3 linked regions of the Diceros bicornis minor genome follow. The protein of the gene in region 3 purifies or fractionates together with the protein of the main gene of each other region. This does not show direct contact. Links are inferred from orthologs where the notes say so. Each region holds a gene or a part of one and is shown on either strand. Other genes may lie near its edges.

Region 1 (7,618 bases), on a different chromosome or scaffold from region 3:
GCAACAGTTGTCACTGTGGGTGTTCTGCCAACACAAGTGTAACGTTGTCATCAGAAATGAATATGTGGCTCCGAGTGGCTTACAGAAATCCAACAAATCTGTGTCTTGGACTCCGCACAAGCCAGCTCTTCTCAGGATGACCTGGACTCCTTCCCATTAGTACAATGATCAGCTAAAGCCATCCTCCATAAGGAGAGAAGGAAAATCAAGGTTTATGTCAGGGAAAAAAGATAACTGCCCAGAGTCGAAGTTCATGAATAACAATGTGTTAAGGGCAGCCATACTGAGTGAGTTATCAGTGATAGCTTGCACTGTAATTTATTACATTTAAAATCAATATCCACAGCACAGAGCTTTAGGCCCAATTTCATGTAAGGTGAATGGAAATAAAAATAGACCAAGTAAAAGAACAAAAAAAAGAAAGAAATGCTTTACCAGGGGTTGTTAAATGGGCTATTCCAATAAGATATGTAAATCATACTATGTGGTTAAATAAATACCTCAATAAAAAGCAAAACTACTCGTCTTCATCAGAAACCTATGTACCCTGGGTACCTTCCTCTCTTTTCTAGAGCTACTGTCAAAGGCTCTGAAAATCACCAGAACTTTCCTAGACATATAAAAATCCAGTCACTTCAGAGGTATGTTTTTTCTTTCTCTTTCCCCAATCATCATCCTGGTCACCTACAACCCAGATAAAAGTTTCCTATTTATTGGTTTTCAGACAGACCAGTGAAGATGTATTATTTTCCCTTTTAGTGAACAATGTCCTTTTTTGGTTTGGTTGCAATCTTATGCCTCTAAGTTATAAGCACAAGTGCTCAAAATTTAATTTTTCTAACAAGGACTCAACATTTTGTCTTGTTAACGGAGTGGTACAAGTTAACAACCAAACCTGTCTTCAAAGGCAAGAAATAAAAGTCTAAAGTTAGGATTTTCAATGTGATAATCTCAGAATATCAATGAAAAATCACCCACTAAAATTTCCCCACCAGGGAGAAATGTTCATCAGACCTATTAGCTATGACACTGCAAGAGAATTCACAATAAAACAATCTTTACTTGTACAGCACAGTAAACCAAGAAGTCTATGTTCAAATCCTGAAATCTTTCAAATTAAAGTATACATTAAAAATATCAAAAAGGGGTCATTGATTAATTTGTTTATAAATCCAAGTTGCTGGGGCTAGAGCTGAGAAGAATTGACTCACAGAGACATCTAAGATGGCATGATTTGGTTACCTATTCTTCAGATTGCTTGTTTTTCTTTTTTCCCCAAACTGTGGGTCTGTACACAGCTGTGAAATCATTTCAGCAGAAACTGATCTATGTTTTTAAGAAAATGAAATAGTGTCCTATAGATGAGGAAATACCAGAGTGCTTTGCACATTTATATTTATATACATATTTGTATAGTGTATACATTGTTTCAATGTGAGTACAGGTTCAGTATAAAATGTGTATTTCTTGCTGAGGGTCAAGGTCAAAAAAGTTTGAGACACTGATCCAAACGAATTCCAGTAAAGGAAAGAGACTTAAATCAGGTGAAAACGTAAGAAGCATCAGAAGCAAAGTCTACCTTCTTCAAAAACATATTTGCCATTCATTATTTTAGGAAGCCAAATGAACACAAGATGCAATCATGTTTAAATTGCAAGGAATGGTAAAAATCTTGATGAAATTTTCCTTTTATCCAATGAAACAATTATCACTGTATAGCCGAAGAGATAATCATTAGGATTTAGTGATCCATTAACCATAGGCCAATTCCTAAAAACATAAACACTTCAACCATCTTCTTCCTCTAATTTCTAATTAGTAAAATAAAAGATTTTGATGAGATAACCAACTCTAGTATCTGTCATTTTAGATCAATGGTTTTCAACTGGGGGAGATTTTGCACACACCCCACGCACCCACTCCAGGACATCTGGCAATGTCTGAAGACATTCTGATTGTCATAAATCAGGGTGTGGAGAGGTGAGATGCATTTATCCAGCTCAAGACATCAATAGTGATGAGGTTGATAAACCTTGTCGTACATCAAGATTGTATTCCTTTCAAACCTAAGGGACAAATAGCCTTAACTTGTGTCTCTTCAGTTCTTATAAGCTAAGCAGCTGCATTATTAGCATACCTACAAATAGTTTATAACCAAATATGAAATAGGTCCTTTGCAAGTGCCAGAGAACGTGGAAATCTCTCCTCTGTTCATTACAAGCTCAACTAAGATCATCTTTCTTTTGTACAATGTCAGAAAACTCTAAGCATAAGTGTGCTCCATATGTAGTTGAACTTATTACAGTATTTAAATTTTTCTCCTTTGACCCTAAATAAATCAACGAACAATGGAGCAGTACAGACTCTAATACAGCCAATATGTAATAAAAATTTTTATATTTTACGAAAACATCTTGGAATAAGCAGAATGGACATTACCAACAGGAGATGGACTGCATGTAAAATAAACACTGAAGGAAATACAATCAAAAGGCAATAAATAATCCAGGTGATAAATGAGACCTCCTGTTCCCAACACCCTAAATGTCATCACTCTCCTTAAGCAACTTCCTTCTTATCCAAATTCAGACATCCTCAAAGGAGCAGCAGAAAGAAGGGCTTAGAGAATCTTTAACGATGCAAAGAAAGAGACATAAGGGGGGAAAAGTTCCTCACAGGCTAAGATAAAGGCAGTGGGGACAAGGAAAATGCTTGTAAAGTGCTGAGCATGATGCCTAGCAGGTACTAAGCACTCAAAAAAAAGTTACCTTTTTAAATTTATATTTTTATACCGAGAATCACCTTAGTTCTTAAAGGGAAAAACAGCTCTCTTTCGAGGTGTAAGGAGAAAATGGGTGACGAGAAGTACGTGATTATGACTGGAAACACAAAAACTGACCTTTTAACTTAACTTTAGTCTCAAAGTATTATCCCTGCGAGGATTTAAGCATTATAGATCCCACCTGCCTCGATCCCATTTTATGCCTAGAGGTAACACACTCTGGCATGTAGCTTTCCAAAACTTTTTCTACGGATTTACAAACATCGATTTGTCCGTGGAAATATGCATTATTATGATGCAGAATTTCTTCGGGCGCCTTTCCACGAGAATACATAAAGATTTATCCTCTTCATTTTAACATTTCAAGTCAGTCTTCCTAGAGAAGCGAGTTCCTAAAGTCAAAAAACCTCCCTTGCTCTCCCTAAAACCTATGAAGTGGTGGACGGCGGGATGCACCGATGTGGGGAAAAAAATGCCGAAATCGAGACACACGGGAACAAACTTAGAGCTTCCGGACCAGGGAGGTTTGGGGATGGAGGCCCATGGGCTTTGTTAGAGAGAAGTCATTGTGGATGAAATACCTACCCCGACGCGCCATCACGGGCATTGAATCCCCTCCCCACTACCCCAAATCTAAGACCTCCCTCTTCTGGAGCGCTCATTGGACGACCTGCGCGAGCGCCTTCCGGAGGCTGACCGCCTACTGGCTCCAGAACCGGTCCATCCATTTACCCGCCCGACTCCCGCGTTCCCCATTGGAGTCACACGGCGGCCTCTCGGAGGAGCCCAACCTACCGCGCGCTGCGTGCTCATTGGCTCGGAGACACGCTGCTCAGGAGGGGAAAACCCGCCTCCCACATTCCGATGGCCCAAGGACCGCGCAGTCGGCGGCTACAGGCAGACCCAATTGGTCTATACACTCGCCAGTCAAACGCCTCGGATGCAAAGCTCCACAGAACCTATGCGGCTAAAACATCCCGCCCCTCTTCTTCCATTGGCTGGCCGGACCCACCGCTCCCCTTTCACTGGCCCCCACCCTACAGTCCATTCATTTCACACAATAACGGGCCCAACTGGAGTCGGTTCAAGACCTCGTATGGGTAGGCAAGGCTGTCAGCCACTTACCCGGGATGGAGACCGATCACTCACGCTAACGTCTTCCCCGTTCCTCTATGGTGAGGCCGGACCACAAGCCACTGCTGCCGCCGCCTTCTGCGCAACGCCAACCGCCCGCCAAAACGGATCCTTCCCTGCGCCTGCGCGACCAATCCTGGAACCGGACCCTTTCTCCGCCCATTACGCCTGCGCAAAACGGAGCACAACTCCCGCCACTACGCAGGCGCTGTAGGTCCGCCGCTGTCTCCCGCCCGCCATTTCACGTGTTCCAAGCGCCAGGGGGAACTTCTTAATGCGCCTGCGTAAACTCGCCATTTTACTACACATGCGCTCAGCAGGCGATCTTTGCAAAAGAAAAAAAATTATCACATGCTAACTACTTTTCCAATACATAGTATTAATCATACATTGCTCCGTGGGTTGACTATAATATCCGGGGCGTGGAGGATTAAAGTTATTTACATAGCTTACGTGTATTAAAATATGAATGATTGATTGGCTAGCCAATCAGTCTGGTTAAGAATAATATTAGTCGGGAACCAATGGCCCCCAAGGGGTGGAGACTGCGTAGAACGCCCAAACGGATGACGTTATACAGCAGTGCGGCACCACAGACCAATAGTAGGGGGAAGCTGTTTCAAATAACCAATCAGAGCTACGCAGGGGCGGAGTCTACCAATGCCGACACCGAGGAGGCGGGATAAAAAAGCGAGGCCGAAGGTAGGCTGGCAGATACGTTTAGTAGGTTACTCCTTTCTGCTTGTGGACGCCGCTGAGGAAGCATCGTTAAGGTCTCCCGTCCCACTGTAGTCATGTCTAAGTCAGAGGTGAGTAAGACGCTCTCTCCAACTTCAGTCTCTTCCTCGCCCTCCCCTGAGTTCGGTAGGACGCGGCCTGGTTTGGCTGCTTGTACCAGCCCATTCGGTAGTTCTTCGATCGCTGCCAGGGCCTACTCCTCCCAAAGTTCAGGTCGCCATTTTGTCCTCGTCGTCGCCATGAGGCCGTCGTCTTGCAACCCTTAGCTACCACGCCGGGCTCGTTCTTCCTGGCAAAACTCTTCGGCACATTCGATCTATTTTTTCCCCTTGTCTCGGTGGGCGAGTTTCTTGAGGAGCAGCTACAGTCCCGTACTGGCACGTACCAAGCCCGCCGGGTCCTTTTGTTGCGCGTGCGTCGGAAGGAGAGTGGCGACGCATGCGCTCGCGGCTCCCCAGCCCTCCCAGCCCCGAACATAACGCCTCCCCTGATGGGGGGAAGCACGTGGCCTGCTGCGGCCCCAGGGAACAATAAGTGCTTCGTAGGTTGCTGTCTAGTTATGCTTCTCTCAAGTGGAAGGTGTTTCGCACTATAGCCCAGTTAACGCTTTTTTCCCCTGCTCCTAGTCTCCTAAAGAGCCCGAACAGCTGCGGAAGCTCTTCATCGGAGGTTTGAGCTTTGAAACAACCGACGAGAGTCTCAGGAGCCATTTTGAGCAATGGGGAACGCTCACGGACTGTGTGGTAAGACTTGGAAGAGGCAAAAGGCGATAGAACCAGTTGATTTTCTTGGCTTATCTTGCTATGGTTCCTGTCCGACTGCTTGTGAAGATTGTTGACAGGATTCGAGTTAGAAACAGCTTGGCAAGGGAAGGTGGGGCTTTGTTAAATTGTTTAAAAGCTCCTTTTCAATGGATTTACCCGAGGTGGGTAGTGGGAAACTGAAGAGCTTTGCATAGAGCCTCCTATTAACCTTACTCAAGCTAGAAATGACTGTAGGTTTTGGAGTCTTACTGTGTATTAAATCAATTGACATCTCAGGTAATGCGAGATCCCAACACCAAGCGCTCCAGAGGCTTTGGCTTTGTCACGTACGCCACTGTGGAGGAGGTGGATGCAGCCATGAACGCAAGGCCGCACAAGGTGGATGGGAGAGTTGTGGAACCAAAGAGGGCAGTCTCAAGAGAAGTAAGTGATATTTTTTTCCTTCCATTAGTCATTTAGAAGTGTGCCACTAGGTAGACGTCACATTTGTGGGTGTTACAGGGTTTTTAACATTCTTGATTTTGGGCTAGATTTCGCCAAAATAAACAACTTAATGGGGTTTTTCCTGTTAGGATTCTCAAAGACCTGGTGCCCACTTAACTGTGAAAAAGATATTTGTTGGTGGCATTAAAGAAGACACTGAAGAACATCACCTAAGAGATTATTTTGAACAGTATGGGAAAATTGAAGTGATTGAAATCATGACTGACAGAGGCAGTGGCAAGAAGAGAGGCTTTGCTTTTGTAACTTTTGATGACCATGACTCTGTAGACAAGATTGTCAGTAAGTATCAGACGATGGGCACTTGCTAAGGGTTCTGAAGTCCATGTTGTATTCCAAACGGTGAGATCATGTTCTCTTTATCTTTGACATTTTTTAGTTCAGAAATACCATACTGTGAATGGCCACAACTGTGAAGTACGGAAAGCCCTATCTAAGCAGGAGATGGCTAGTGCTTCATCCAGCCAAAGAGGTGGGTTTTTTGCTTAATTAAACCTTAAAGATCACTTTGAATAATTCCAACCTGCGTGGTTTAACACTTAAAACTTCTCTCTCAAGGTCGAAGTGGTTCTGGAAACTTTGGTGGTGGTCGTGGAGGTGGTTTTGGTGGGAATGACAACTTTGGTCGTGGAGGAAACTTCAGTGGTCGAGGTATGTATTGTTAATGGTTTACTACTAAGAATTAACAGTAAGCTTGTGATTTAATTACCCCCAGGTAACTTGTCCTTTTTGCAACCTGTGGTAGATGTAACTACTAGCCCACGTTTTCAAAGTTAGATTTTATCCAAATGTAGTTCTGGCTTCGTAACAAGAAGTTAAAATTCTTGGTATGGAAATCATTTTTGCAGTACAGGAACTGCTTCCTAAAACTTAAGACTTAGAAGAGTGTGATTTGTATGCAATCCGTAAACGTCAAACCTGGTTTAAAACACTGCTTTATTCCAGGTGGCTTTGGCGGCAGCCGTGGTGGTGGTGGATATGGTGGCAGTGGGGATGGCTATAATGGATTTGGTAATGATGGTAAGTTTTCTCAAGGAATACACAGGTGGAAAATATTTTGACAACCTTTAGAATAGGTTAGTAGAGACTAAAATTTTAGTGCATGACAAGCTCAGCTCTGACCATAACAGCATGCTGTGAGCAGGCTTTTAGCCATTACGCTTGCACAGGTTTTGATTGTTGAATACTTTTGTCTTATTGAGAAGAATTGTATTCTTGTAGGTGGTTATGGAGGAGGCGGCCCTGGTTACTCTGGAGGAAGCAGAGGCTATGGAAGTGGTGGACAGGGTTATGGAAACCAGGGCAGTGGCTATGGCGGGAGTGGCAGCTATGACAGCTATAACAACGGAGGAGGCGGAGGCGGCTTTGGCGGTGGTAGTGGTAGGTATCCAGTGATCCAAGTACTTGGTGCAGTAGCTAGATTAGCCTCTTGGAGTTGATGCTCATGTGGGGATTTGGTGCTCTTAAAGCATTAACGTGGTACGCTGCATGGTATTCTTTTTTAATGGGCTTGCTAATGCTACCTCCTCCTAGCTTTAAGCTGGGGCCGCCTCACTCCCAAATAGATGGGTAAGTGGATAGTGGTGTCTTGAATTGGAATTAGATTAGCTTCTAGCAGGATTTAGTTAGTATTTTAATTCCTTTGGGACCTTAGGCACTTAGTTGATGTATCCAGCCTGAGTTTGCAATGTCCCTGAAC
Region 2 (7,188 bases), on a different chromosome or scaffold from region 3:
GTCTGAAAAGGAGTAACTAGAGATGAACACTGAAAACCTAAGCATAGTATCATAATGCCAAGGGAACAGTTTTTAAGGAGGGAGTGGCCAACAGTGCCAAATGCTGTTTAGAATTCAATAACATAAGGACTAATATTGACCATTAAACACCATTAGTCTTCGGTGACCTTGGTGAGAACTGAGTGGACAGGCAGGAGAAATGGAGTGGGGTAAGGAATAAGTGGCAGAGCATGATTCCAAGTGTGTACTACTCCCCCAAATAATAACTTCTCAAATACAAACTAAATTTAAACATGAACTGAGTTGCAAGTCATTCAACTGTACCAGTGAATACAAATTTCTACAATTCTATAAGGCATCTATATTCTTACCGAGTTGTTTTCTTGACTTTGTTTTAGAATGAATCTCTTCTGCATCATCTAATACGAGGTTCATATACTCATCAAAACCCTAGAAAAATAAGCCAATTGATGACTGTCATCTTCAAGTAAGATCACATCCAAACCATTCTACAAGAACACACTTATGGAGGTACAGAAATGCCAACCAACTTCAGAAATTCACCGCTACACTGATCTTTCAGCTGAACACCACCTCCCACCCTAAGCCTCTCCTTAAATAACAAAGAAAGCCAGCATGTACTCCAAGTTACTTCTGTAACCTTTTGGACTAAGATCTCATTAGTTATGCCAAAGAGCCATTCTCTCTACCTTTTATAAGCTGCCCAAGGTCGAGTACACGCCTACATATGTGAATTAACATCTACTGCACCGTTCTTCCCATGCTCCCCACAAAACACTAACACCACTAACCACCACGCCTGCTTTCCAACTAGTAAACAGGGAAGGGGAGATTATATTGATGGAATCTACAAGTCTAAACGGAAAACCAAAGTGTCTGAACATAATACTTTCAACCATATTTTACCCTTCTTTAAAACATTATTTAGGGTACTCTGCCATCCTGGGAGTCTTATTTAACTAACCCCACCAAGCTCTATTGAGGTATCACCTAACCCAAAACTAACACTCCATTAATCCTCACCGCCCCCCTCAATTTTATTTCTTTTGTCCTCTCCTTTGAATACTAACACTGTTGTTTAAATAATTTTTAAAATTATTTTAAATTTTTAAAATAAAATTAATTTTAAAAATTAATTTTCCCTCTCTTTTTTGAATTACCCAATTCCTAACAATGAGTAGAACAATGAGACAAGGATAGTGGGCCCTAAAAAACTTTCCTTGGGTTGGGTCTTGGACTTTCTGTACATTGCTCTGGCTGGCCTTTTCTGCAAAATCTTTTTCTGTGAACTAACTGGGTAGTAAATGTCCTGGGTACTCACAATGATACAGCCCTCTATCCGCATATTCACTTGCTCGTAAAGCCACACCTGAATCCGAGATCTCTGAAATAATCATAAAAATAAAAATGTTAAAAAATAAACATAATCCAATCACTTTGGTCAAACAACAGAGAAACAAGGCTCCTAAAGAAACTTCAAAAATTTCAAGTCAAGAGTTTTAACCACTTAACACATACCTAAGAACTGGTAACTAAGACTAGTTACTTGCCAAAAAACATTCTCACTTAATAAATGCTGCATTGGGACTAAGTTAATAATTTCCCTGTGATCTTGGAACTCAATCACATTTCTTACTGCTTCTATTCTCAATACATTTCAATTGAAAGTTGGTGACAGTATCGCACAAAGCAGGAATTTCTAATGACCAAGTGCTTCTTTCTCACCTGCTATAAGAAAATCCAGCTCCAAAACAGCTTTCTCTAGGTTCTTGGTTTTCCATGCCTTACACCTAACAATCAAGGGAGGGACTCTCAATTCTGGTGATTAAAAATTACAATGGCTTGAAATTAATGTTTTCCAATTGTATTGTCACGCTAAAATTTGTAAGAGCAACAGGAACTACATTTTCCCTCAGAAATAATTTAAACACTCTGCCCTGCCAACTCAAAATCTGAGGTGCTAAAAATCCTCCCAAAAGAAAGCAGGCTGCCACTAAACCGCCTGAATCTATCCCTCCTCTCTCTTTTTTTACTGTCTTTTTTATGTTTAAGTTTTCCTCCAGGTACTAAACACACCACCTTATGACGTGGTTTAAAGCTGACTGGAGTTTTCTTCCGACGTCTCACCCTAGGGGAAAGAAGAGGGAAAGGTTCCAATGCCCTGGCCATAACCACTACCAATATCCAAATACCACTGACACGTCTGCCAATAATTACTTTTTGAAATTAGTAATCTCGGTCTTGCAAAGTAACGATGACACGATTCTCTGATGCTTGGAGCTGGCATGGCTACACACCATTTTACTACATTAGAGCTTTCCCTGTACCCTTTCCCCTCAAATGCCCCTCCAATCTCCACAGTTTCCACCTATTTTTAACTCTAGAACACAGTGATCAGACAGAATGACACAGCCAAATAAATTCACTCTTTACTCAAAGAAAACTACGAAACTAACGACTTACGTACGTTTTGCAAGTATCTGAAGATGAGGTTCTGCACCCGCGGTTAAGGAAGAAGTACACGCACAGCACAGGCTCTGGCCCCTGAGCGAGTCAACCCTAGCCCACCGTCCCCTGGTCGTCTTCCGAGCGCGAGCTCTGCCGCCTGCACGACACAGGCGCCGCCCCCGGCCCTCGAAGGCGCGCCCTCTCACTCCGCGGGACGCCGGCCCCCGCCCTCACCAGGACTCCCGCAGCCGTCTCCCCGCGGCTCCCGCTCCCCCGGCACGGTGCTCGACTCCCGCGCCTCCTCCGGCTCGGCCGCCCGCCCGCGGGCTCACGGGAGGTGGCCGCGGCCCGCGCCCTCCGGCCTGCCGTCCGCTCTTCGCCCCGTTTTCCGGCCCGACCCCCCAGCCCTGCCGTCCGCGGAGGATACGATGGGCTGCACCATCACCTTCTGCACCTTCTGGCCCTGGCCGCGGTACGCCATGGTGAAAGCGGACAAAGGCCACACGAACGCGCACGCCGCCTCAGAGCAACTTCCGGAATAAGGAACCGGAAAAGCAAGTGTATGGTCCCCGCGCGGCGACCGGGGAGGCTCCTGGGAAATGCCTCTCTAGCCGGGGGGCTCGCTTTTCTCGGTGCTCTACAGCATCCGGGGGAGGCCCGACTGAGGGGAATGGCGCTTTGGAACGTGGGCCGGTCCTACAGCGCCACCTGGAGGCGGCGGCTCGGTTTGAGTCGGCCGAGAGAGGTAGGCGGCCCAGGCGGCCCTCCGCCTGTGGAATGGGTTGGTTTGTGCTTTCCTAGGCCTGTCCGCCTGGAACCGAAGGTGACGGCCGCGCTGTGGTGCGGAGGGGCGGGCGGCGGGCTCGGGGCGCACCTGGCACTGTCCGGAGGCGGACGCCGTGGCTGCGCCGTCGTGGGCCCCGTGAGGTGGGGGGACGAGGGGCGCGGCCGTGTGCGTGGGGGCCCGGACCCTGACTCCGGGCTCCACCCGCCCCGACCGGGAGGACACGGGCGGGTCCCTCGGCCCGCCGGCCTCAGCCCAGCTGTCCCCAGACGGGCGGACACTCGCCCCGGGCGAGTCGGGGCAGCGGGAGCGCGCGTGCGTGGTCCGCACACCGCGTCCGGGGGCCGGCGGGAGGCGGGGTCCTGGTCAGCTGGAACCCGCGTTTCATGGATGAAGACGCTCGCTCAGAGCTGAGGCCCTGGCTCAGGGCGCCCCTTAGAGGAGGGGCGGACGTTCAGTGAGGAAAGAGGGATGCCGACCTCGTGAAGGGGTTGAGGTCAAAGCGTACGAACGTGATTTTTAACCTATGAAGAGCTAGGAGACAGTGGAGTAATTATTTCTCAAAAAAAGTCCCCCGCCCCAAACCCAGTGGAGAGTGTGGGGCCAGAGTGAACTGGAGATGTGCAGGGTTCAGACAGCTCGGATCGCACACTGCCCTGCCCAGCCCATCGCAGGTGTGAAGACCTTGCTACTCGTTTTTGCGTTTTCCTGTCTGTTTCTGAAGTCGTGATTCCTAAACTTTTGGGGATTGATCCCTATAACCAATCATTTGACTGATAGGTCATATATACAACTCATGAGAAGTGATTTGCTTTTTTTTTTAATGATTTTAAATTTAATCTTTTAAATTTAAATCTTTGATCCATCCAGAATTGATCCCAATGTATCCTAGAACTGATACAACTTTATGATTTCTAGATGGCTACCCAGTTGTCCGTCACCATTACAAAAAAATAACCCATTGTTCCCCATTCAATTTAAAATTCCACGTTTATAATATACCAGTGTATGTGTATGTACATAGTTTATATTTTGTTCAATTGATCTTTGTGTCTGTGGACCAGTATCACTGTTATGAGTACAGTATTGTATCTTTATAATTAGTTTTCTTATTTGGTAGGACTAGAAGTAGGTAGAATTTTCCTAGCTATTCTTATTTTTCTTACAAACTTTAGAATTAGTTTATCTAATTTAAAAAACTTTTGGTATTTTTACTGTGATTACATTAAACTCTAGAACAACTTAGGTTAGTTTTTTTAATCTAAGTACATGATATATTTTTAATCTGACATAAAGACTGAAAATAAAAATTGGCAATGGTTGTGAACAATCAGTTTATAGCAAAGGAAATAAAATAGTCCTCAAACATACAAAAAGATGCCCAACTGCTCTCATTAAAAGAGAAATGCAAACTACACTATGCTGAGAAACCATTTTCCCCCATTAGGTTGGCAAAGATCAAAAAGTGGTGGTAATGTAAATTATTAAACTCCACTTCTAGGTATTTAATCCTACAGATAAACTTACATGTGTGACATAATGTAATCATCGCAGCATTGTTTAAAATACCAAGACAGGAAACAACCTAAATGTCTATCAACAGGGACTGGCTCAATTACTGCATATTCATATAGTGTAATACTATGCAACTATAATCAAGATTAAGAAGCTCTTTGTCTCCTGATATGATATCCAATATATAGTAAGAAAAAACAAGCTGTGATGCATCTGAGATTTACTTCCAAATAATCCAGTGGAGCCAGCAGGGGATGGGGCAAGCCTAAGGAGCAAAATTTGAGGAATCACACTCACATGTGCAAGTACAACCCCGAGTGAGCACCTCCTTAAATTGTGCTCAGGCATCTGGCTTACCTCACCCTGGTCCCAGCCATGGGGCCCAGAGTAGGGGATGGACAGTTGGTGTGGGTTTAGATGAAACAGGATTTGTCGTAAATTTGTAATTCATAATTTAAAACTATTCATAATAAAAAAGGTGCAGAATATCATGTGTTTTATACATGATATTGTATGGAAGTATACTTGCTTATATATGCCTGAAGTATCTCTGGAAGAATCCCTGAGAAACTAACAACATTGGTTTTGGAGAACTCAGTAGCTGGGGCAGGAGTAGGAGGGAGGATTTTTACTAAAGCCTCATGTACATTTTGAATTTTGAAATGTGGATGAATATAGCACCAATTGAATAAATTCATGAAATAGTGGAAAGTACTATGAAATATTTGTTTCCTTTTTTTATTGCAACTAATCATAATGTTCTTGTAAAATTTGAGATTTTCATGACACTCCCAAGGTCTCTGCAAAATAGGCTGGAGAATCACTGGTCCAAAGAGGTACACCCTGCGATAAGAGTCACCTCCAGACCTCCCAAATATTGAAGAACATCCTTCCTTTCAGCTTGAAGTTCCTTCCGTCTCATCCAGAAGCCTCACAACTTGCTGAATGGCTGTGATTGATTAGAAGCACACCAAAGAATGGGGCTGGGAAGACAGGGGCAGTGTAGCAAAGATCAGCAGCCCCTGAAATGGGTCAAGAACTTTTTCATTCACTCAGCAAATGTTTATTGAATACCTTGTGTTATGGGCTGAATTGTACCCCCCCAAACTCATATGTTGAAGCTCTAACCCCCCAGTACCTTAGAATGTGACTGTATTTGGAGATACGCCCTTAAAGAGGTAATTAAGGTTAAATGAGGTCATATGGGTGGACCCTAATCCAAGGTGATTGGTATCCTTATAGAAGATTAAAACACAGATACATGCATGCAGAGGAAAGACCATTTGAGGATATTGAGAAGGCAGCCATCTGCAAGCCAGAGAGGCCTCAAAAGAAACCAAACTTGCCAACACCTGGATCTTGGACTTCTAGCCACCAGAACTGTAGGAAACTAAGTTTCTGTTGTTTAAGCCACCCAATCTGTGGTATTTTGTTATGGCAGCCCTAGCAGACTCATACACCTTCCATGTGCCAGGCCTGTACTAGGTGCTGACTATATAACTTAGTAAGAGTCTCTGTCTCAAGGAGTTGATACTCTGCTGAGGAAGATGGACAGATAAACAATTTTCAAACAATGAGAGTAAACAGAAATTACATGCCTAGCTGACAGGCACCAAACCTGTTTGAGGAGAGGGATTGCAGGGTGTAGGGAGAGGTAGCTTGGAAGTCACAGAATGTGTAGGAGTTAGCCAAAAGAAAAGAGGAAAAGAAAGAGATTTTTAGGTAGAAGACAGCATTAACAAAGGCAAAGGGCTAGAGATTAGCGTATGAGGGAAGTCAACAGCCAGTAGTTTTGCTGGAGTGAAGAGCATGAAGCGTCAGTGGCCAGACAGGAGGCTGGTAGGCAGGGCTTACATGCTATGCTAAGGGTCTTGAATTTAATTTTGGAGGGAAGGGAACGGCACTGGAGAGTCTTACGAAGCAAAGTGATTCAGATTTGCATTTAGAATAGATCCTTCTTTCTTTTTTAAAAGATCAGTTATACCTCAGCCACGAATAGTTGAGAGCAAGAATGAGACAAGGCAGAGACCCGGAGGGAGTACCAATGGGATGGTCAGAGGTCATTAAAAACAAACTTTATCTGTTCAATTTGGCCTTGTTTGCAGCTCAGATTATCTCCTTTGCTAAGCTACACAAAACTCCAGCTCTGACACCTCAAGGAATCCTTCCCTAACCAGTCTCAAACTCACTGATTGCTCACTCATTCCTTCTATAGCACCATCCACTTAATACTTGCACCTACTTCATTTTTGTTAGTTTTCTCTTAAAAATGTTTTCTAAGTATTTCAAGGGCAGGGTTTGCCTTAAACCCATCTCTCTCGTAGCCAGTAGTGTTTAATGATGGTTAGAATTCATGATGTTCTAATCTGAGCCTCTTCAAGGGATGAGAGTCCAAAATATTTTGTGGCTGCTATGCCAAT
Region 3 (7,417 bases):
CAACTAACTCTGCAGCTATTGCAAACAAGGTCTCTAACCATGGACAGACACCATAAATATTAGCCACTCCCCTAATCCTCTCCCCACCCCAAAACATTCCATGTCTAACCCCCATCTCTTCATGCACCTTCAGTCGACTGGAGGACAAGTTCTCATATGGACCAAATCCCCCAGGGAGCATCAGCAGCAGCCCCCGAGGGAAGATGGACTGGTATGGATTCTAGCCCAGGCCAGGAGCAGGGCAAAAGGAGTCAAGCCCTATCTAGTCATGAGAAAGAACCCCAGATAAAACTCTCATCTTTCCAGGTTATAGGAGGGCAGAGATACCCAGCGCAATCCGTCTCAGATTCCTACCTTTCTCTTGAGGCTCTGGTCCTCCTAGTGATGAGTGCATGCACAGAAATCCCTCTAGGTCATAACCTTCCCCTCCCAGGTTCCCATTTAACCTCATCTTCATACTTGGCCCCTATCCCAAAAGCCTTATGGACCCTCTTACCGTGACGAAGACAACATTGTTGGGGAAGACTGATGTGTCCGCTCCATCCAAGGGCACTTGGGGTGCAGCAATGGGACCCCGGCTGGCTGTCAGTGAGGCTGGGAAGCAGCTTCTCTTTCGGACGGTTGTCGTCCCTTCCTCACTCTCTGCCCCTGGGTCCCCCTCAGAAGGCTGGGGTGGCAGACGCAGCTCCTCGGACAGGTAGTGTCGGATGTTTTGGCGGGCGGAGTGGATGAGCCGTGCATCAATATCCAGGCCCACCATTCGGGATGGGCCCCACTTACAAGCAATGTTCAGGGCCAGATGGCCCACATTGCAGCCCAGATCTAGGACGTCCCGACCCCGAAACCACTCAGGCTTCATCACCCGAAGGCGCCCATCCTCACAGGAAGGATTGCGGTACCCATAGTACTTGCAGTAATTCCCATACTGGAACTTGCGCTGTTGCTTTTTGAAGCCTGCTGCAGGTAGTGGGTGGAGGTGGTGGCGGCCTCCCCCACTCCCTCGGCCCTTTTCCTTGGGACCCTGGCCTGCACCCCTAGCCCCTGCCTCCGACTTGCTGGAAGTCCTGCGACGTTTGCGATGTCGTGAGGAGGAAGATGAGGGTGCACAGGTAACTGAGGCAGCTGGAGGGGCTGGAAGGGAGCCTGAGGGACCCTGTAGGGCGGATGGAAGGGGAGACACGACCTCATCCCTGCAGTTGATGGCTGTGTTGAGTTCATAGGGCTGGGGGGCATCCCGGTTCTGGCCTTTATGCCGCTGCTGCTGTGTGGTGCCCTCCCCATGGAGTGAGGGCGTGAGGGGAGCTGTGGGCAGCACGGAGTGGCTATCATTCCCTCCAGTTGCCTGCTGCTGCTGGTGGTGCTGTCCCCGGTGTCTATGCCGCTTCCGACCAGTCTTGAGTGGCGAAGCAAGAACTACTTGGGCCTCATCAGTGCAAGTATTGAGACTGAGCGGGTCAGTAATATCTTTGGGGATGAGGATCTCCACTGGATCTCGCCCCTTGGCCGGAAGTGGTGATGACTTAGGGGTCTCTGCATTGAGTACGCGGCTCACTTCCTCATCCAGGAGACTATTCAGGTTCAGTGGATCAAAGATATTGCCCCCCAAGAGGAAGTTGGAGGGTAACACAGAGTCACAGTCCGAATTAACCCGCCTGCGCCTCTTGAAGGCCGGATGTTTGAAGCCTCCACCACCTCCCCCTACATTACAGCTATTTCTCCTCTTGCCTCCCCCTCCCCCAGGGGGGCGGTGGGGCTGATAGCCATTTCTGGGCCGAGGAGGGGCAGGGGGGCCCAGTTCTGTTCCGCCCCCTCCCCGTCGCTCCTCCCCCACGTCCGGGGGAGCGGCTCGCCCGTGGGGATCCGTCAAGCGGGCCTCCCCGTGCGGCTGTGCCTGGAGGCCGCCCCCTCGTTGCTGCTGCCCCTGGCCGCCCCGAGGAGTGGATGTAGCCCTGGGGCTCTCCTTGCCGGCCCCAGAAGCCGGGGCCCCCGCCGAGTGTGCGCGCGGGCCCAGTCCGCGCTGTGTCCCGCCGCGGAGCTCCCCGGAGGCGGCCTCTCGGTGCGGCTGCACCGTGGGGCCGCCCCCTCCGTCCGACTCCTCTTTGAGCGGCGGCGGCGGGGCCGGCACCAGAAACGGCTCCTTCTCCGCCGCCATCTCGATCATTTCCTCCCCTTATTCCGTCCCAGTCGAAGGCAACGAGGGGGGCCAGGGGGCTTAACCCCCCTTCCTAGATCCCGCTCCCTTCCCCCCCTTCCCCGAGTGCGCGCGCAGCTCTGCTCTTCTCGCCTAGTCTCGCGCCCAAGCGCCTCCCCCGAAGCGCGCCCTTCTCGCCCACGAGACCAAAACAAGATGCCCGCGAGACCCGAACAACTCGAGGAATCAACCGCGCCTGCGCCGACCCCTTTCTCCTCTACCACTGCCGCTTCGCCGCGAGCGCGCACTGCTAGAGCGCATTCCTCTCGCCCCGGAATCACGCATGCGCACTCCGCCACCACCCTGGTTGCGCGCGCATCGGAGTACGAACCAACTTAACGGCTCCGGGAGTTTAAATATAGCCCCCCACGACCCCCCAAAAGCCCACCACCCCAAACTGACACCCTACTTCCCTTCGCAGCTATGTCCGTCCCTACTGATATCCTTTGTCTCTGCCGCGCGATCCCACCCACCGTAGGCGGGGGACGGGGAGCTGGTGTGAAAAGATCTCCTTGACACCCGACCCTTGTTCCTGAGGAATGAGTCTCAGCGGTCTCCGCCCGGCTCTAAACCCAACAACCTCCCTACCCCGCCTCCTTCCTCCCCCTAGCCGGCAGCGCCTGCGCACACCCTTTCGGGCTTGCGCGGGTAGATGCAGCACGTGCTGGAGATGACGCCCCGCCCTCCGTCCCAGGGGCGGGGACTGTTACGTCGCTTCCTCAGGTTTGGTGCACGCAACGTGCGTCAGCGTGATTCGAAGGGGGCGTGGCTAAGGGACGGGGCGGCACTCATGAATTATTCATGACCCGATTCCCCCCCCCCCGCCCTTTGCCCCCCTACTTAGAAGAGCTGAGGAAACGGAGGGGTGAACCTAAAGGTAGAGGAAGGGAAGGAGCGGATTATACTGACCGTCTTCCTACGAACTGCTCTCAGTAAAATACGATAGGTCATTTTAACTCACCCCTCTGGCAAATATTCTCTGCTGAACTGAAAAGAAAAAAAAGAAAGGCACTAAAACAGCCGATGTTGTCCAACTTCCTCTTCCCTCGAAATGGCCGAGTCGTTCTCGCGCTCCTCCGCCTTCGCCGAATCGCGATCACCTGGGGACACCACGCCCTCCTCTCCGCCTCCACACCCACAGCCCAGACACCAACACCTCCGCCCACCACCCGACGCCTGCGCACGAGCCCCCAGCCCGCGGGCTGCGACCCCGACGCCCACCACAGCCACCACCAGCAGTCCATCCACCTCCACCGCCACCTCGCACGCAGGCCTTCCCGAATGCACACGCTGCGGCTTCGCGCCGCCTTGTAGAAAAACGAATGTGGGCGGGGAAGAGATTTCGGCCTGCTTTGGGCTCCCTGCCTCGGCCAATGGGGAAGAAGCTATTCGACCCCCTTTCCACGGGGTGCTAGGTGGCCCGTTCTCCCTGCCAACAGTGCTGGGGGTGCGGGGCCTGTGGCTGAGAAGAGGGCAGGAGAGGTGAGAGTGGGGTTCACAATAGTCTCAAATAAAATATTAAAATAAGGGCGTGAAGGAGACTAAAAGGAAGAATAGGAATCGGGGAACGAAAAGGCAGTCTGGGACACAGAAAAGTTAGTAAAAGGAAGAGGTGCTTCACGAACGATCAGGCGCTGCAGCTGCCGCCTAAAAAAAGTGAGGCTAGCGAGAATTATGGGATTAGTAGTTTTACAGGGCGTTTGGTTGGAAGATGGCGGAAATCGCCGCGCAAACGCAGAAGCGGCTTCCAGCTGCGCATGCGCCTCAGCCCTGGGCTGAAGCCGCTGAGGAGGGGGTGGAGCTTGTGCGTGGGCCTCGCACCTCTTCTTGGTGGCGGGAAAACCGGGTCGAGGTTGGAGGGGCTTGGAGAATCGCTGCAGTAGCTCACTCGCTCCTCTTCACTCCAGAAGGTAGCTGGCTCTTCTCCGGTTGCAGATGAGGGTGCTAGGCGCGGCCAGTCCTGGTACTTGTGGCCTGAGGAGAACTTTTCTCCTCAGGGGACAGCCAACTCTTACGCCTCCTGCTTAGGCTCTCTAACCGCAAACTCACCCCCAACAGACACACAAAAGTAACCCAATATGATGGCGGGCAAGGACGGGCTGAGCGAGAATGAGGATCGTGGTGCCTCTGTGTGTGGGGGCGGAGGGGTGCAGCTGAGGGGCAAGTCTCTGGTGATGGGATTCTTGACGGGGAAGAGGCTAGAAAGCCACTCTTTGAGGGCAGTCAAGGACTTTCGACTCTGTGAAACCTCCCTTCGTAATTGCTGTCCTCAAGGGAGAATTGGTGAGGGAAGAGAAGAAAAATGCGGAAGACCCAGAGTTCTTCCCTTTGGTTTTAAAGGTGGAGTCAGGCCCTTCCCTGTTCCACACTTTGGCACCTGGTGAGGGGAAATGGTGCGGGGGATGTGCTGCTTGAAGCCAAAGCAACACAAAAAGGCTGGTTTGAGGTCGGTAGCAGAGGCACGTGAGGAAGCATTTCAGGCGGTGGATAGCAAGAGTTTGGAGGAGATGAGAGTCCTGAAAGAAAGAGCCTGTATATTGGTGATAAGTGGCCGCGTCCCCGTGCTTCCTTGCCCTCTCTGAACCAAGAAGCTTTAGTTACTGTGCATTTATTCATGAGTCTGTAAACGGTTTAGTTCAAGTAGTTATGACATTTAATGCTTTAAGTGGTCTAGTATGGGCAGTAAGGGTAGCTGGAATCTTTCTTTTTTGTCCTTGTGTCTTGTTAAAAGTTTTAAATCATGCTCACTGAGCACAAAAAAAGCAGAAGAAGAAACAAAAGACAAGAACTACTGTTACTAATCCAGTCATGAAAATAAGCAGGGGTTTACATGCCATTAGACATTAATGCCACAAGGAAATTAAACTCCAGTTTAAAGGAGATTTTAAATACAGTCTTTAAATACAGTTTTTTGAGGCTCTCAGAGTCTGTGTTAGAGGACAATTCTAAAGGGTTTGCTTTTATTCTTAGACCAAGGATTCCAGGAACAATATAAAGAGGGAAAATGGGATAGTTAGGAGGGGGAAATTTGTGAAGACATTCTAAACAGGGGGAGGTGGGAGGAGGATTAATGCTTTTTGAAAAATATTGACAAGACTGAATTAAGTTATTTAGCTAGATCAGTTCTCAGACATTTTGGTCTCAGAACTCTTTTATACTCTTAAAAATTATGGAAGACTTCAAAGATTGGCTTATTTCTATTGATATTAATATATTAGAGATTAAACAAAAATTTTAAACATTTATTAATTTTAAAATGATAATAAAATAATTACATGTTAATATAAATAACATTTTTATGAAAAATATATTTGCCTAAATGAAAGAAAATTTAGTGTGAAGAATGGCATTGTTTTACATTTTGGCAAATCTCTTTCATGTTTGGCTGAAGAGAATACAGCTGGGTTTTCATCTGTTTTTGAATTCTATCTGTTATGATATCTTGTTTTGGTTGAAGTATATGAGGAAATCCAGCCTAACACAGATAAGTAGCTAGAAAAGGGAGGGGACCCCCAGGGGTCCCCCAGGATCACACTTTGAGAACCTCTGAGCTAGGTGATTTCATCTTAAAATCAGTGTGATGATTTCTAGCGTTCTAAGTGTAGGAAAACTGTCTATTTTTTGGAACACCTCATTCACCTCCCCTTGGTTCCCTTTATCAGTTATTTCTGAGTTCTTTTCTCTTCCTTATTCACTCCTCTTTCTTATGTTGAGTGGGTAGGATCTGGTTTATGGAACTTTCTTTTATTTTCATATTTAAAGCTTTATTAGGTGTTTTTTTTCCTCTTTCTCATCTAAGGTAAGAAAAGAGAAGTTAAAATGTCAAATGTTACTCCTGGGTTTAGAGCCCATAGTCATTTAGTAGCTGATCAGTTGAAAGTTGGTGGTATTTTGTATATTTATTAACTCTTTTTAAAAATTTTTCCCTCTGAACTAGATTTCAATATTTGTTATTGTGAAAGAAAATAGTTTGTCTGAAACAGAGGAGCAGACACTTGAGTTGTCAGTGACTACCTGGATTTCCCTTCTCTGTTGATCAGGTTAGAGATTTTCTTTAAAAGTAATGTGCTTCTTCACACCCCCACTCTAAATTAAGGGGAACTATTATACATCACTGCTTATAGATTTACTACATCTCATTAATAATCCACATTAATTATACAACGATCCACCAATTTTATCCAGTTGGTTGGGGCTCCAGTAACGCACTTTGGCCTAGAGAGGTCAGTGTAGGTTTAGATAATGATTTGAAACTAAATATTGGAAAATGTTGCATTTTTAGGTTGATCAATATACTCTTTTTATTATACTTGAAGAACTTAAAATTTAAAAAATCACTGTTGAAGTGGTAATATATGTATGTTATAAAATGCTAGAGATACACAAGGGGATACAGTAAAAAGCTCCCTTCACACCCAGCCACCCAGTTCCACTCCCAGAGGCATTTTTGTCAGTTTCTTGTATATTCTTCTAGAGATAGTTTATGGATATATAAGAATATTATGTATATGTACATTTTTAAAAATTGAATGTTGCCATCTCAAATACACTAATTTTCATTTTGCTTTTCTCATTTAGCATAGCTCCTCTTGTAATTTAGTTTACCTTCATGGGGACTTCTCATGATCATTTTTGGTATTTCGGAGTCTGGGAGAAGATATATGGCCAAATTAATATTTCTTTTGCAGCCTAATTTTATTCAATGTCTAGCTTCTATTTAGGATTAACATAAAGAAGGAGACCAATTTGCTGCAATGTTTCTCCTCTAATTTTCCATTTGTCTTTTTTCCTGGAGCAAATAAGTTTGAAGGTTGGTGGTGATGAATTAAGATGGAAACAGTGAGAAATGTTCTCCTTGATATAAAGGAAAAGTAGTTACTGCAGAACAACACATCTGAATTATTCACATTTATAGAATTAAGAAAAGGACAGAAAAATACCAAAAGATAATTTAAAAATACTTTACGTTCAGCCATGCTGTGACCACGCTAAGTCAAAACCCCAACACCTTTTGAATTTATCTTGAGATCTAGAGGGAGGAACTCTACACCCTGAACAACTGAGTTTTTACTATAGCCTGGCCATTTGAGGGTCTTAAAATTTTCAGATCCTTTAAGGGGAAGTATATATGAACCAGAAGATCCATTTTACGCTGCTTTTGGGTCTCTTTATAGTGGAAAATGGCACAGTTGGAAGATTGAGTTTCAGGTGTAGGGCCTTCAAAGT

The links.
Region 1: the proteins of MEPCE (region 3) and HNRNPA1 purify together in Homo sapiens (affinity purification with mass spectrometry; 3 studies listed by BioGRID and IntAct, counting the BioPlex papers as one, with this or other methods). This does not show direct contact. The link is inferred for Diceros bicornis minor from reciprocal best matches to the Homo sapiens genes MEPCE and HNRNPA1.
Region 2: the proteins of MEPCE (region 3) and SNRPE purify together in Homo sapiens (affinity purification with mass spectrometry; 3 studies listed by BioGRID and IntAct, counting the BioPlex papers as one, with this or other methods). This does not show direct contact. The link is inferred for Diceros bicornis minor from reciprocal best matches to the Homo sapiens genes MEPCE and SNRPE.

The regions. Positions count from the first base shown.
Region 1 is NC_080756.1:16,116,097-16,123,714, reverse strand, and holds the start of HNRNPA1 (heterogeneous nuclear ribonucleoprotein A1), read left to right. Parts: upstream 1-4,618; 5' UTR 4,619-4,710; coding exon 4,711-4,725; intron 4,726-5,280; coding exon 5,281-5,397; intron 5,398-5,694; coding exon 5,695-5,841; intron 5,842-5,990; coding exon 5,991-6,201; intron 6,202-6,298; coding exon 6,299-6,391; intron 6,392-6,477; coding exon 6,478-6,570; intron 6,571-6,864; coding exon 6,865-6,939; intron 6,940-7,140; coding exon 7,141-7,299; intron 7,300-7,618. UniProt on the Homo sapiens protein: Involved in the packaging of pre-mRNA into hnRNP particles, transport of poly(A) mRNA from the nucleus to the cytoplasm and modulation of splice site selection.
Region 2 is NC_080743.1:101,799,434-101,806,621, forward strand, and holds the start of SNRPE (small nuclear ribonucleoprotein E), read right to left. Parts: upstream 3,001-7,188; 5' UTR 2,951-3,000; coding exon 2,897-2,950; intron 2,516-2,896; coding exon 2,489-2,515; intron 1,406-2,488; coding exon 1,343-1,405; intron 451-1,342; coding exon 372-450; intron 1-371. UniProt on the Homo sapiens protein: Plays a role in pre-mRNA splicing as a core component of the spliceosomal U1, U2, U4 and U5 small nuclear ribonucleoproteins (snRNPs), the building blocks of the spliceosome.
Region 3 is NC_080765.1:5,362,163-5,369,579, forward strand, and holds the start of MEPCE (7SK snRNA methylphosphate capping enzyme), read right to left. Parts: upstream 3,009-7,417; 5' UTR 2,162-3,008; coding exon 497-2,161; intron 1-496. UniProt on the Homo sapiens protein: S-adenosyl-L-methionine-dependent methyltransferase that adds a methylphosphate cap at the 5'-end of 7SK snRNA (7SK RNA), leading to stabilize it.